2 linked regions of the Tamandua tetradactyla genome follow. The protein of the gene in region 1 binds, or shares a complex with, the protein of each later gene. Links are inferred from orthologs where the notes say so. Each region holds a gene or a part of one and is shown in the gene's direction. Other genes may lie near its edges.

Region 1 (7,515 bases):
TGAGGTCCTGACAGAGGAACTGCTGAGGGAGAGAAACTGAAGGGGCCCCCATGTCACAAAATCCATTTTTATTTTCTGAGGCTGACACTGGGGTCTTGAGGGGGGTCGAGGCTTCCCTGGTCCTCTGGGAGCAGCCTGGCAAACAGGTTCTCCCTCCCGCTGGGGCGGGCGCGGCCGGAGGGGGAGGCAGGGGCGGAGGAGCGCCCCGGCGCCCGCACCCAAGGGCCCGCAGCGCGGTGATGGCCGGGCCGGGCGCATCCAGGTCCCGCGGGGCGAACGGGGAGCCCCGGCACGGGCCACCAGGGTCGGGCGCCGGCCGCCGGGCGCTGGGAGGGATGCTGCCGCCGCCGAGCCTCTCTCCGCGGGCCCGGGACCGGGCGGCGGGCGCGGGAGCCCAGCTCCGGAGAGCGGAGGGGGCGGGGCCGGCCGCTCCAGCCCCGGGCGTCCCGACTGGGCGCCTGGACACCCGGCGGAGCGGCCCCGCCCCGGAGCCACCTGCCCGGCCCGGGAGGGGCGGCCCCTCGGAGCCTTCGCCCCGCGCCCTCTCCTCCTCTTCCCTCCCCTCCCCGGGCCCTCGCAGCCAGTCCCGGGAGGCGACGTGGAGGGCCGGGCGTGCCGGGCCTGGGAACCTGGCGGCCGGATGGGGGCCGGATCCGCCGACCGGGCGCTCTCGCCGCGCGAAGTGGGTCTGGCGGCTGGGACCACCCGCGAGGCTCTCAGGTGAGCGGGCGCTGTGGATGCCTCGGGCCGGGACCCTGCGTTCAGGGGCCCCTTCTTTAGACCCGGGAGGGTGCGTCCCCACTCTCCTCCTCCTTCGGACCCCAGGGTCCAAATCCCCAGCCTCTCCTTCTTCAGCCCCGGGGGGCCAGGCCCCCAGCCCCTCCTCCCTGAGATTCCTCCTTAGGCGCCCCGCATCCCCTCATCCGCCTTTCCCACCCGCAGCTATGTGGCCCCCCAGTCGCCGTCACCTCTGCCTGGCCTTCCTGCTGGCCTGCCTTCTCTCGGCCATCTCCTTCCTCCACGTCCACCAAGACCTCTTTCGCAAAGGCCTCGATCTGTCCATCCTGTGTCCGGACCGCTGCCGGCTGTCCTCCCGCGTGGCCGTGTTCTGCCTGCCCGGCACGCCGCTGACCGCCAACGCCTCCCGCTCCTGTCCCCGCCGCCCGCCCTCCCCCTCCCCCTCCGGGACCTGGACCATCTACTCCGACGGCCGCTTTGGTAACCAGATGGGGCAGTACGCCACCCTGCTGGCCCTGGCCCAGCTCAACGGCCGCCGGGCCTTCATCCCGCCCGCCATGCACGCCACCCTGGCGCCCGTGTTCCGCATCACCCTGCCCGTGCTGGCCCCCGAGGCGGACAGCCACACGCCGTGGCGCAAGGTGAGGCTGCATGACTGGATGTCGGAGGAGTACGCCCAACTGAAGGACCCCTTTCTGAAGCTCTCCGGCTTTCCCTGCTCCTGGACCTTCTTCCACCACCTCCGGGAACAGATCCGCAGCGAGTTCACCCTTCATGACCACCTCCGGGAGGAGGCCCAGGTCTTCCTGAGTCAGCTCCGCCTGGGCCGGGCCAGGGGCCGCCCGGGCACGTTCGTGGGCGTCCACGTGCGCCGAGGGGACTACCTGGAGGTGATGCCCCACCACTGGAGGGGCGTGGTGGGCGACCGCACCTACCTCCAGCAGGCCATGGACTGGTTCCGGGCCCAGCACCGAGACCCCATCTTTGTGGTCACCAGCAATGGCATGGGGTGGTGCCGGGAGAACATTGACACCTCCCGGGGGGATGTGATCTTTGCCGGCAACGGGCAGGAGGCCTCGCCTGGGAAAGACTTTGCGCTGCTCATGCAGTGCAATCACACCGTCATGACCATCGGTACCTTCGGCTTCTGGGCTGCCTACCTGGCTGGGGGAGACACCGTCTACCTGGCCAACTTCACCCTGCCAGACTCCAACTTCCTGAAGATCTTTAAGCCTGAGGCCGCCTTCCTGCCCGAGTGGGTGGGCATTGCTGCAGACCTGTCTCCACTCCGCTCGAAAGCTGGGCCTTGAGAGGCAAAGCAGAGACGTTTTTTTGGAATGACCAGCGCAATCTAGAGCCAGGAGGATGCATCTCCTGAGGCCTGGCGGCTTCTTGGAGAAGCTTGGGGCTCTGGAGCAGATGGGCACCATATCCCCGCCTTGCCATTTCTAGAGTGATTCCAATTGGCCAACCTTTGAGAGATGGGGGTGGGGGTAGGGCTTTCTGGAACTGCTTGAACATTTCCAGAACCAGCAGGACATCTTTTCCTGATGGTGGCAATGTCTGGAGAAGTTCATGGCAGTAATAGAAGCCACTGTACCCATTTTTTCTTCTCAAGTCGAATCCTTCTGGAAAGTTATCCCCAGGAAGTAGGGAACTCTCTAGGGTTGACTATCCTGGTGTTTTCTAGAAGGTGGCACTCCTCTCTTGGGTCCTAGGAGGACTGAGGGAACTCATGGCTGTTTCAGAGCAAGCATTCAATTCCCTCCATGTTTCTGGAATGATTCTAGAGCGAATTTGCTCTAGAGAGGGCCACATCTAATGCCTGTGAGGAAGCCTGCAGGGCCCTTCCAGAGGTTCTGGAATTCCAGATAACTTCAAGGAGGAATCCAATGAAACAACCAGAAACAACACCACGCCACTGCAAGATTAAGATTGAAAGATGGGAGACAAGCATCTAGCTGGACAGCATACAGTACTGCTCCTGGGCTTTGTAAAAGCTGGGGCTATTTGTGAGCAGAGCAGAACTCTGTCCAACCCTCAGGCCCTGAGAAAGCCAAAAAGGGGGATGGGGGGAGGTAGATAGGCTGAAATGTGAGGTGTGGGTATGGCTGCTGAAATGCTACAGCTTCTAGAGCCAACTTTTCCAGAGATCCACGGACACTTGAAAAAAAAATTTTTTTTAAGCTCAAAAACTGCCAAACACAGAACGACGCACCTTGCCTCCAAGTTCAAGCTGCCTCTCACAATGAAGAAAGTTTCCTCCTCCTTTGCAGCTGGACTGGGGGTGCTGGGGGTGCTGGGATCTGTTTTCTGGGAGGCAGCAGAGCACAAACCTGCCCTTTGGATTTGCCGCAGGTACTGTGCATGTGCCAACCATTGTCTGCCCTTGAATTCACAGAAGCACCAAATCTGGTTTTGGGCGAGTCCAGGATGAAAGGCTCCTAAAAGTACATAGAGTCCGTAACCCAGCCTCAAACTGGGAGCACTGGGTTTGGCCAAGGAGGACAGGATCCCTGTCAGATTTCAGGAGTTCCTTGCTTTTTTGGAGGGTTGAAAGAAGATACTTTTATTATCCTCAACCTCTGCTCACATCCCCCTTCAGAATCCAAGCCCTTTCTCCAGGCTTCTCAGGGAGTTTTGGGGAGACCATTCCCCGTTCACCTGTCACATATGGAAGAGAAGGAGGTATGAATTAAAAGCCCACATCATCAATCCCGGTCTCTGCAGCTTTTTTGGAGGGTTGGGGTGAGGGTAGGGGTGCGGAGGAGAGGGGCAAACTTCCGGGGATTTTCACAGCCCAGGATGTCTTGCGGTTGTAGTGTTTCCCCCTCCTCGCCCCACTCCCCGGAGGCCCACTCGTGCTTCCGTTTTTCTGGCGGCCTGTTTTAATGAAGCAGAAAGACCTTACAGGACCCAAAGGTCCGAGCCCCCAGTTCCTTTCTTCCGGACCCTCGGGACTGGCCTCCAGATCATGAACCCTTGGCATACAGCCTCTCGGGCTGGGGAGGGGACGTGAGCAAGGAGTATAACTGTTGGACTACATTTCCCTTAAGGCTACTGGGCTGACTGCGATAGTTGCTATCAAAAAAGCAACCCAGGGCCTTCTGGGAGTCGTAGTCCTAGACTGGAAACTGCCTCTCCCCGCGTTCTCGTGGCCCAACGCCAGGTTTCCAGAGGCCCAGAAGCCCGGGTCAGGGGCCAAGGGAGGGAGGAAGCTGCAGGCCGGAGGCCGGTTCTCGGCTCCGGGAGCAGGAGCAGGCAGGGGGCCTCCGCAGTTTTAGATGCCGGGGGGTGGGGGGAAATCCTCGTGTGCGGAGGCGGCCGCCTCTGTGACGTCATGAAGCATTGGGCGGGGCCTCCCTTTGTTGCGGTCCAATCGGGTTCGGAGTTGGGTTTCAGGGCGGGGCTTAGAAAAACGCCAGGAAAAAGCTTTTGGGAAATCGGCGACTGCACGTGGCAAAGGCCAACCCCGAGGCTGCGGGAGCTCCCTGCCTAGAGGGGCGACCCGTGACTCAAGACCTCAATCGAAAGGTCTTGGGCATCACGCAACCCCACCTCCCCCTTGTCTCCAACCAATTCCTTTATTTCAGTCCTGAAATAAGAGTAGAAGGACCTGATCCCGGCTTCCGAAGAGCTCTCAGAACCTGGAGTGAGCTCCTCAGCAAGTGTTTGGGGGCACCAGGGTCAGGGAGCCAAGATTGGGAGGCTGCTGCTTGGAGGGCTTCGGGGTTCGTCTTTTCCTCTTAAAGAGAGGGGTATGCCCTGCAAATTGGGGTCTGTTAGTCTTGGGGAAGCGTAGACAAGCCCCACCTTCCACCCCCTCACTCCCGGTCTGGAGAACCGTTTAGAGTCTTGCTTAGATTTGTAGGGTCTCCAGGTTTATGTATTTGGAGTGCATTTTGGTTTGAAAATTTTGAATTTGATGATATCCTGCCTGGTTCTGTATTGGGTAATCTATTTAGTTTGGGCATTGAGTTTTCTGCTCGAGATCCAACAGATTTGGGGGAGGGGTGTTGAGAGGTCTCAGTGGGAGTTGGGGATCACATCAATTTTGGAAAGTCTGCATGGGATGTGGGTTCCCAGTTCTGGTAAGGGGACGGTTGAACACCTCCTGTTTAATAGTTTGCTGGTCTCCTAGTTGGGTTCCAACGAGGATCCTAAATTTGGGGGTCCCCCAGATTGAAGGAATTTGATGAAGGATAGGTGTCCTCTTCATTTAGGGATTTCATGGTTTGGGAACCCCATTAATAGAGGGCCCAGTGGGGTCCCCTTCTATGGACCGTGACTTCTCTCCGTTTAGCGTTCCTCTCCTCTGGACTTGGGGTGGGAGGCCCCTCCCTGGAGCTCTTCGCGGACTTGACGCTCAGGCCGCGATGGGGCCGCCGCTTCCCCTCCTGGTAGCTGCACTGGCTGGTTGCCTGCTGCCTGCCTGGGGCTGTGTCATCTGTGACCAGTCGGTCTTGACGGCGCTTAAGTCCTTGGAGACAGACTACCTGCCTAGCCACTTGTCAGCCAGTGTTCGCGAAAATGTGATGAAAAGGATCGAGGACACTCTGCGGGATTTCAAGGATCTGCCACTAGACGAAGACTCCTACATGGGGGCCGTCGGTAAGGGCAGGACAGAACGCAGTCTCCTGGGTCCTGGTGAAGGAGAAGTTCCGGGCCAAGGTTACTAGATCCAAAGGAAGGAGAGGGCTGGGGGTAGACTCTCTTGGGCTCTGGAAATGGAGAAGGTGCGAATGCACATTCCGGGAGTTCCCGGGGCTAGCAAATACTGTGACTCCACCACACACACACACACCCCCCTTAGCCTGCAATTTTATGTAATGAAACTACAACTCCCAGACGGCAACGGGCAGCTAATCCATTAACCAGGCCTATCTTTGTCTGGAGGCCTCATGGGTATTGTAGTTTCTAAGACTAGGGGAGCCAATGACAGGGACGCTGGAACGTGGTCTGGTCCTATCTCCCCCCACAGATGAGCCCACACTGCAAAAGGCAGCCTGGAGTTTCCTGAAGGATCTGAAACGCATCACAGACAGTGGGGTTAAAGGTAGATGCAAGGAGGAGGGGAGTGGGGGCCCCAGAATTATTCAGGAACGTGATTGCTGGTGATTTCTGGTTTGGAGGCCCACTGCCTTGGTTCCAAATTCCAGCTGTGCCACTTTCTAGCTGCGTGGCCTGGAGCAAGGGACTTCGCGGCTTCCTCGTCTCTAAAATAGAGACCAGTAGCTGTGAAGATTAAATGAATCCTTACACTTGCATCGGTTAGCACCGCGGCCGGCATGATATTCAGGGATCATTACATTTCCCTTCCCTTCCCTGAGAAGGCGGGACAGTGAAATGGCAGACTCTGAAGACCTCCGATAGGGTGGGAGGGGGACCACTCTGCGCCACCCTGCTTCTTCCCAGACGAACTCTTCGTGAAGGAGATATTCTGGATGTTACACCTGCAAAAGGAGGTTTTTTCCCGCTATGCTGCTCAGTTCCTAAAAGAGGGTGAGGGAAGATGGGATCCTGGGACCCCGGCCCCCAGCCCTTCCGATCCCCTCCTTCCTCTAACTTGAGTCCAAGCCCCCAGCTTCTTCCCCTGCCCCCGCTCCCATTCCCCCTTTGACTTAGAAATCTGATTCTCTCTCTTTTTTTTTTTCTTTTATTTTCCATCCGAGGCAGCTTTTTGTCCCAACAAATGCGGTGAGTCCTGATTGAGGTAACCCCACCAATACCCAGCTCTTCCCCACTCCCCTTTCGGGGTCCCCGTGGTGTCTTCATTCTATGCGTTTGAAAAGTCCCGGGGTCTCCTTTCTGCACCTTGGACTTCTTAAGGGCGGGACGGCTACATTCGGTTTCCCCTCTGTAGGGAGCGGGTTTGGATCTTCCTTCCCGCATGGCTGCGTTCTAGCCCCGCCCCCGGTCAGACCCCGCCCCTCCCTTTTAGCCCCGCCTCTTAAAGGGCACGTACAAGCCTTGGGCCTGCCCCTTCAGGTATGCTACTGCAGACCCTGATCTGGTGCGAGGGCTGCGATAAGCAGATTCACGCCTGTCGGAAGTCCGTAAATTGCGGGGGTGAGAGAGGTGGATCCCGTGGGAGGGTGGGTGCGGCAGGGGCAGCGCCAGAGGAGAGGCAGGAGGGGCCCCCAGCCCAGGGCCAGGGGACTTGGAGTGGGGGCGAGGAACCTTGAAGGAGTGCCCCGCAGTGAGCCCGCCCGATCTCCCCATCCTCAGATCGCCACATCAAAGTCTATCAAATGGAGGACATGATTCTGGACTGTGAGCTCAACTGGCATCACGTCTCCGAAGGCCTCACCGAATACAGATTTTTCAGGGTGGGGCCCCCCGACCCCTGTAACCCTTGAACTCCAAGTCCATCAGGCCTGCGTGAGCCCCCTGGTCTCCTGTAACGGTTGCCCGGCACCATGCCACTCCCCCCACCCCATGACCCCTGACCTACCAGGTTTGACCTCTCCTGACCCCGGTGACCCCAAGCCCTTGACACCCTGGACTCCCACGTCCCCTACTGAGGTCCAGTGATCTCTCACCCCTGTGATCCCCCAACCCCTGAATCCCCCAGGCCTCTGTGACCCCTTGAGCTTGGGTCTAGGTTTGGGAGAACACGACTGAGACCTTGTTGTACGAGGGGAAAGAGCCCACCCTGACCAAGACCATGGTGGGGCCAGCGGACGAAGGCAAGTACCGCTGCGAGCTGGGCACTGTGATTTCCAGCCCAGCCACCATCATCTACTATCAGGTCAAAGGTCAGTGCTGCTGGGTGGA
Region 2 (7,266 bases), on another chromosome or scaffold:
TTCATTCATTCAAATATTTAGAGGCTCTTCTGTACACCATAAATCATGCTAGGTGCTGGCAACAAAAGGATAAACAAGATAAAGTCCTCACCCAAGGATCTCTAAAGGGGGCTCCCCAGAGTCTAAAGGGAGAAACAAACAAATGTGCAGAAGATTACAAAACTTGTAATAAATGCAATGCTAAAAGGAACTATAGGAAGGCTTGCGAGCCCACAGAATGGACCCTAAGCCAGGAAGAGGCAAAGGAAGGTTTCTAGAGATACTGTTACCTATGCACTGAAGGATGTGTAGCCAGGTGAAAAGGAAAATTCATCCCTGCGAAGGGAGGTACAGCACAGTGGCACATTCACATAGCAGCGAGTGGCTCAGCCTGGCTAGTGTGGAAAGTAAGGCTGGGCTTAGAGGGGAAGGGACTCTGCAGTAACCAATGGCAATTCAAGCATTCTGTTTTGGGTTTTGTTTTCTTAAGAATAAAGTTGATTGGGATCAGCTGCTTCAAATGGTATTGTCCACAGACAGCTTTGGTTTATCAACTTGCAGTCAGAAAACAGATTAATCTGGAAGCCTCAGTCACAATAATGCAAACATGAATTTTCCTCAAGGACCACAGACTGTCTCTCTGGGGAGATGTCAGCAGCATGGTTCTCTGAAAGGCAGCCTCGGTAATTCCTTCCCATGCCCCACCTCCCTCGGCACCTGTGCTGGCTGTAATTGCATCTCATTTCCTACAGCTTCATTCCGGAGACTGTTAGCAAGTCCCTCCTTGACCTTCTTTCCTCCATGCAGAGCCACCTTCATCCTGTGACCAGAGGGCCTGTTTTCCATTTCAGTCATTACTTTTGTGATTCATTTCTGGGTTCTTGTCCCTGCCACATCCACAGTCATCTTAAATATAACATTAAAAGCCAAATCTCTTACCTCTTCAAGGCTTAGGGCTTCCGGAATATTTGCAGGAAATTGGACAGCCTGTGAGAGCCTGCTTCTTCCCAGTAGAGTTCACACCTGTGGGAAGAAGCCCTGTCACAGAAACTCCACTGCCACTTGGTGCCTGACCTCAAAGAGGGGAGGGACCCTGAGCTCTACTTCAGGCAGCTGGACTGGTAACTTGTCTTTGTTTCCACAAACTTGGGTGGCTTAAAACAACAGAAATCTATTGCCTCACAGTTTTGGAGGCTAGAATTCTGAAAACAAGATGTCGGCAGGGCCAAGCGTCATTTAAAGACTGGAGGTAAGGGCTCTGATCCATGCCTCTCTCCCGGCTTCTGGTGGTGGCTTGCCAGCAACCCATGGCATCTCCCCGTCCAACTGTCTGTATCCTACTCTCCCCTTCTCGCGGGGACCCCAGTCATATTGGATTAGGGCTCATCCTATACCAATTTGGCTTCTTAACTAATTATATCTTTAAAAACACTATTTCCAAATAGGGTCACATTCGCAGGATGGGTATTAGGACTTGAACCAGGTTTTTAGGGGACACAACTCAACCCATAACAGTAACCATGACTGCTCTTGAATACAACTAACCCGCCCCTCCTTCCAACACACACACAATCTGATTGTGGAATTTAACTTTAAAAAACAGGCTTCCTCTGAGACCCAAACAGCACCTGTCCTTTCGGTCCTGGAGGTCCTTCCACCTTCCACTCCCACCCTCACCTAGTTCTTAAGAGCACAGGAGATCTGAGCTCTGGTGCTCCCTAGCCGAGCCTGTTTTCTCCCTGAGGCTGAGCGCTCCGGAGTGGTGGCGGGGAGGGAGACAGGCCTGCACTCAGCACACAGGGGCTGTGATTACCAGGAGGTGGGAAACATTATTTCCCAGCATGATTACATGCTTTGCACATCAACTCTGCAGCTAAAAAATGCAGAGCGTGTCTGTTTCATACTCTCTTCTGTTAAAAAACGCTTTTAGTGTTTTGTTTTCATTTCCTAGGTCTAAGTAAAGCATATGTGATTTTGAGCTACTTCTGCTTTGGAGAGGGAACTTGTCAGAAGAAGCAAGCAAAGCAATGGGCTCCTTCCCTTGTGTTTTCATCATCTTTGGGGCCCTCCTAAGAATTGTAGCCAAGTTCCTGAGCCTCTCCTTAGTTGAGGGGGACATTCCCGTGAATATCACCACAACCAACTACTCTTGCCAAAATATTTCACAGGACAGTGGTCCCTCCCTTCCCTAGAGGCATCACGCTGGGGGAAGGGCATCTCGTGGGCTTTTGAGGGAGTTTTTGGTTTTGTTTCTTTTGGCTTTGGTCATGCATTAAGTTCTTGTGTGCCCACAGCCACAAACTTCATCTCCTGTGACCTGTGTGCTCTTACTCTGTTCCTGTGGGGTGTCCCGAGGAGAAGGCTGTTACTAGGACCCCCGTGTGGTCCATCCCAGGTAATTGAGCAGATGACTGAGGGCGAGTAGAACTCCAGGACAGGGCAGAGAGAGAAACACTTATAGAATAAAAGAATGACAATTAAAACTCACAAGACTTACCAAGCATTTACTCTGTGCCTGGTACGATTCCGAGTTCCTTCTCAGGAACTCTCCTTTTAATTTCTTCTTCTCATCAGCCCGATTATAATAACCTTCCCTTTTCAGGTGGAGACGTGATGCTTCATTTAAGTAATTTTCCTGAGGTCACTCAGCTAGTGAGTAGCAGAACGGAGAGCTGAACTTCGTGTCTGGTGAAAGAATCCAGCATCTTCACCACTACAAAGCCTCTTTTCTCTGGGAAAGCACTCTCGCTCGGAGCTCACCTCGATCCACTGCTGGAGGCCCTTGGGTAAAACAGCATAACTGGAGCCACCTGGGTTCTGCTCCCACACGTGGGCCTCATAGAAACTGAGCTGGGTAATAAATGGGTGGGTGTGGAATTCCCATCAACCTCAGCATTTCGGGGAGCCAGAGGGACCATCTGGAGGGCCTGCTGCTTTGAAAGTGGGTATGAAGAAAATGCTAGAAGGGCCACAGCTTTCTTCTTCTCTCCTAAAAGTAAACTGCTGTGGATAGAGAGTTGCGTTGAATTTAGACTTGAGAGTGGGTTCTGACGTTAGGAATGGGGGTCTCCAACTCCAGGATGTTTGAGGTTATAAACTCAGGCTTGGCTGGTGGTTTTCTGATTTCCTGTGATGGGTCCATGGCAGGCTCTGACAAGGCCTGGACATTGGAAGAGCTGTGGACTCCAGAGTGGGTGAAGCTAAGGGAGCTGTTTCCTAGGTTGCCTTTTAAGAGACAATGTTTTCCTGCAGCTGAGTGCTTGGGACGGGATTCTCCATTTCTGTTGCTTTTTGTTCGTTTGTTTAGTCTCTTTATTCCCTTAATTCTTCTTTGTCACTGCTATCCAGAACAGGGTTGCAAACATAGTGCTTAACAAGCACTGAGGGAAAGGCTGTCCTCCCTATTTTTATAATGGCATTGCGATTTGCAAGTGAAGATCTCTCACCTCCAACTCATGCCTGGCCAGGCTCCCTGGCTCAGACATGCCAACAAGGCTGCTGGGCCTTCGGCTGCCCCAGCCTCATGATGGGTTGAGGCTGATGCAAGCACAGCTGTTCTAGAAAGGCATCTGGCTCAGGACCTGAGACTGGGGAGGGACAAGCTGCTCTGAGGAGCTGGGAGCTTTGCTTGGACCCTTCAGAGGGGCTGGAATTAGGGCTAGCCCTCGATGGGGTGAGGTGGGCTTGTCACACTGTCCTGTCCCACCACACCCTTTGGGCCCATGTGCATTAGTTCAGTTACTCAGCCAGTAATTGGGGCCTGCTGTGGGCCAGAGTCAAAGCTCTGAATTCCAAGCCTATGTGCCACTGAGTTAGAAAGGAGAACAGCCAGGGGAAGTTCCCTGTGGGAAGGCTGGGGACTCTCTAACCCCTGACTCTCAGCTGAGGGCTGGTCTCGACCCTTCCCTGTGCTTTAGTTTCTGCATCTGAGTAATGGCTGGGGTTGGGGGTCAGCCCTCTAAGTTTATCCAAACCACCTAACATTCTGTGATGCTGCCTGAGATAGAAGATCTGAGGAGCAGCCACAATGTCACTTGAAAGAGTCTTGAAATTCTGCCTCCCATACTCTGTCTTCAGTACTTGGTATTGTTACCAGAAAAAGGTGAAGGATTCTTTTGCCTGACATGCTCAATAACCAATTCCTGAGGCACTGGGGTTTCAAAGACAGAAAAGGTTTAATACTAGGCACATAGTAGGAGAGCAGATGGTCTAATGGTCCAAAATCTTCTCCCCAAACTGCATCAATTCTGATAGCTTTATTAGAGAAAAATATGGGCAAGATTTAGGATAATGAGCACAGTGGCCCTAGATGATGTAATTAGTGGTGATCTAATTATTGAGCATACGCAGATTGATGACATGCTTAGTCACAGAATGTATGTAAGAAAATGGCTGAACGAATATAGGTGACTTACAGGTTAAAGTCTAAGCTACTGTGCATCTCAGTCAGGCCCACTTTGGTTAGAGCCAGTCTCAGCTAACAAGACAACTGGATTTGGGGTGAGACAGTTCTGGACTGACACAAGACCCTTCATTAACAAACATTAGGAGCTGTCTTTAGTAATTACAAGACTGTAAAGCTGAAAAACTGGATAACTGGGTCCAAATGAAGGTTAGTCACAAGGTTTTTATAATCACAGGGGCAGAAGATAAGGGCTGTACAATAATTATCAGAGTTCAAGGCGGCTGGATTACAACTCAGAGATTTCAGGAGATTCCCTCTGTCTACTCCAATATACCAGTAAGCAAAAAAGAGTATCTGTATAATGATCGAGCAAGCAAAATCATCCCTGAAATTCTGATTTCTCAGTTACAGTATGGTGGAGGGACTGGAATGGGGTGTTCGTCTGGCAAGCAAAAGGGTCTCTTCTCTGCAGAAGGCGATGGCATGGTGGTGGCTCCTGCTAGGGCTGTGGATAGTCTTGCCTGCCTGGGCTGGGAACGAGCTGCTCAATGTCTGCATGAAGGCCCAACACCACAAGAGAAAGCCTGGCCCTGAAGTCCAACTCTATGAGGAGGTACAGAGGCCAGACCAGCCTAGGGGTGGGTGGGGGAGCTTTTTTGGTAAAATGGTCTCTGGACCCGTCAATCTTGGCTGTTTGGCTGGGATTGGGGGCAAAGGTAACTAGAGGGAATCTGTGACCTTTTGAGATCATAGAGCCTGGTGATTTAAGCCCACCTCAGACCTGTTCCAGCCACTCGGGGAGTAGGATGAAATGGTGATTCCATAGGCCAGTGTTGGATCAGCAGAGACGAAGACAACATTCTCCTTCTATAGCCTTGTACCCTCCCACCCAGTGCAATTCACCCAGTGCAATCCCACTTTCCCCTGGGACTTGTTGGGGCTTCTTGCCATACTTGCTTTCTCCTCAAAGCCCCGGCCAGCTCTAGGAGCTGAAACCCTGGAAGTCATGTTTTTAGGGGGCTATAGCAGCCTGAGGCAGGGAGGTCAGTGTGCTGGGAGCCTTCTGCCCTTTCAGTATGAATATTGACAAGTTATTAGGACTCCTCGTATGTAAAAAAAAAAAAAGCTCCCCCACCCACCCCTAGGGGTTGCTGGCCTATAGGGATCCCACCGGCCCAGGTCCTCTCCCAAGAGACATTTTTATTCTGTCCCCCTTCTGCCCTAGCCACTCACCAGCCTCCTCTGCTCTTTGCTTCAGTGCATCCCCTGGAAGGAAAATGCCTGCTGCACAGCCAACACAAGTTGGGAAGCCCACCTGGACATGTCCCTGCTCTACAACTTCAGCTTGACTCACTGTGGGCTGATGACCCCAAGCTGTCAGAAGCACTTCATCCAGGCTGTCTGCTTCTATGAGTGTTCCCCGAACCTGGGGCCCTGGATCCAGCCGGTGGGGAGACTGGGGGCAGATCAGTGCAATGCCCTGTTACTAAGAGCCTGAGCTTCTGTCCCCTCTTATGCTGGCATTTCCAGAATGCTAGCAGGAGCTGCAAGTGCTATTGCCTTCCAGAAAAGAACAGAGTCAGAGACCCCCACTGGGGGAAGGATGGAGAAGAAGCTACCTCCAGGCCTGGAGAAGGGAATGGGGGAGACGGGTCAGATGAGAACAGTGGGATGAGACACTATCACCCATGGGAAGCTTGGTGACTTTAGATGAACTTGAATTTGAATCCCATCTTCTGTACTTATTAGCTGGGTCAAACTAACCTCTTAGCCTCACTTGTAAAATAATACTTTTATGGACTGCGCAATTCAAGATGATATACAGATGATACCTGCTATTGATGCTTTTGTCTCTTTTGATGCCTACACCCAGGTGGGCCCAAGTGGGCCAGGAGAGCGAATTTTGGGTGTGCCGCTGTGCCAGGAGGACTGTGAGCGGTGGTGGGCAGACTGCCGCACGTCTTACACTTGCAAATCCAACTGGCAGGACGGCTGGGACTGGAGTCGGGGTGAGCAATGCTTGACAGGGCCAAGGGAGGGAAGCAGGCCCCTTGGAGGGGGGGTGCGGGAGTGGGAAGAGGAGTTGAGTTGTCCATGCCTCCATCTCCCGCAGGAAAGAGCCGCTGCCCTGTAGGAGCCCCCTGCCGCCCCTTCCCCCATTACTTCCCAGCCCCAGCTGACCTCTGCGAGAAGATTTGGAGCGACTCCTACAAGGCGAGCCCAGAGCACCGGGGCAGTGGGCGGTGTGTCCAGAAGTGGTTTGATCCTACTCGGGGCAATCCCAATGTGGCTGTGGCCCGTCTCTTCGCTAACCCTGCCCCCTCCTGGGAACTGCCCTACACGCTCATGGTCTTCTCTCTGTTCCTGTCCTTCCATCCCTAAGGAGTCCCTCCATCTTCCACCAGCTGTGGGGCAGGCCAGGCCCTGGCCACTTCCTTCCTTGAGCCTTTCCTTAAAAGGAACAGACTGACTGGGGGATTGGGGTGGGACATTGAGGCTGCAATAGCTGGTGCCTGGACCTTGCACATTCAGTCCCAGGCCCTCTCCAGTGCTCTGCTCTGCCTTAACCGTGACTGGAAGGCAGGTGGGGACTGGGAGAGCCAAGGTGGTAAACCCCCTCTGCCTTTAAAAATGTGGGGCTGTAGACTTGGGACCCCAGGCCCTTCTTGCTCAGTGTCTATCAGCTCCCGGGGCAGAGCTGATGATGGCAGATGTGACTGCCTCCTACAATGGTGCCTCCAATAAAATGGCAGTTGCTCTTTCCTCTCTGTCTAATCCACTGTGTCCTACCCACGTGCAGGAAGCCACCCTGCCCAAAGAAGGAGCCACTTAGGTTGTTTCACCCACTAATTGTTTAACTTCTTAATATGGGCCAAGGCCCT

The links. Proteins that work in one complex are often made in the same cells at the same time.
Region 2: the proteins of IZUMO1 (region 1) and IZUMO1R are in contact, whole or in part, in a crystal structure (PDB 5JKC), measured with the Homo sapiens proteins. The link is inferred for Tamandua tetradactyla from reciprocal best matches to the Homo sapiens genes IZUMO1 and IZUMO1R. Residues at the interface, in NP_872381.2 of Homo sapiens: Met75, Val77, Tyr134, Val141, Leu146, Trp148, Lys150, Asn151, Lys153, Glu155, Val156, His157, Ala158, Arg160, Lys161, Ser162, Tyr163, Asn239, Ser240, Ser241, Pro242, Ile245; in NP_001186135.1 of Homo sapiens: Lys42, Tyr44, Glu45, Ile48, Leu58, Trp62, His65, Leu66, Asp67, Gly80, Leu81, Leu82, Met83, Pro84, Gly85, Arg87, Ile91, Met145, Ser146, Tyr147, Gln171.

The regions. Positions count from the first base shown.
Region 1 is NC_135342.1:12,311,550-12,319,064, forward strand, and holds the start of IZUMO1 (izumo sperm-egg fusion protein 1), read left to right. Parts: upstream 1-4,511; 5' UTR 4,512-5,015; coding exon 5,016-5,349; coding exon of another isoform or gene 5,350-5,409; intron 5,410-5,719; coding exon 5,720-5,794; intron 5,795-6,153; coding exon 6,154-6,240; intron 6,241-6,414; coding exon 6,415-6,435; intron 6,436-6,726; coding exon 6,727-6,807; intron 6,808-6,966; coding exon 6,967-7,067; intron 7,068-7,342; coding exon 7,343-7,496; intron 7,497-7,515. Other genes in the region: FUT1 (galactoside alpha-(1,2)-fucosyltransferase 1), read left to right, coding at 945-2,048. UniProt on the Homo sapiens protein: Essential sperm cell-surface protein required for fertilization by acting as a ligand for IZUMO1R/JUNO receptor on egg.
Region 2 is NC_135334.1:48,670,239-48,677,504, reverse strand, and holds IZUMO1R (sperm-egg fusion protein Juno), read left to right. Parts: upstream 1-4,862; coding exon 4,863-4,997; intron 4,998-5,642; coding exon 5,643-5,831; intron 5,832-6,257; coding exon 6,258-6,393; intron 6,394-6,497; coding exon 6,498-6,766; downstream 6,767-7,266. UniProt on the Homo sapiens protein: Receptor for IZUMO1 present at the cell surface of oocytes (oolemma), which is essential for species-specific gamete recognition and fertilization.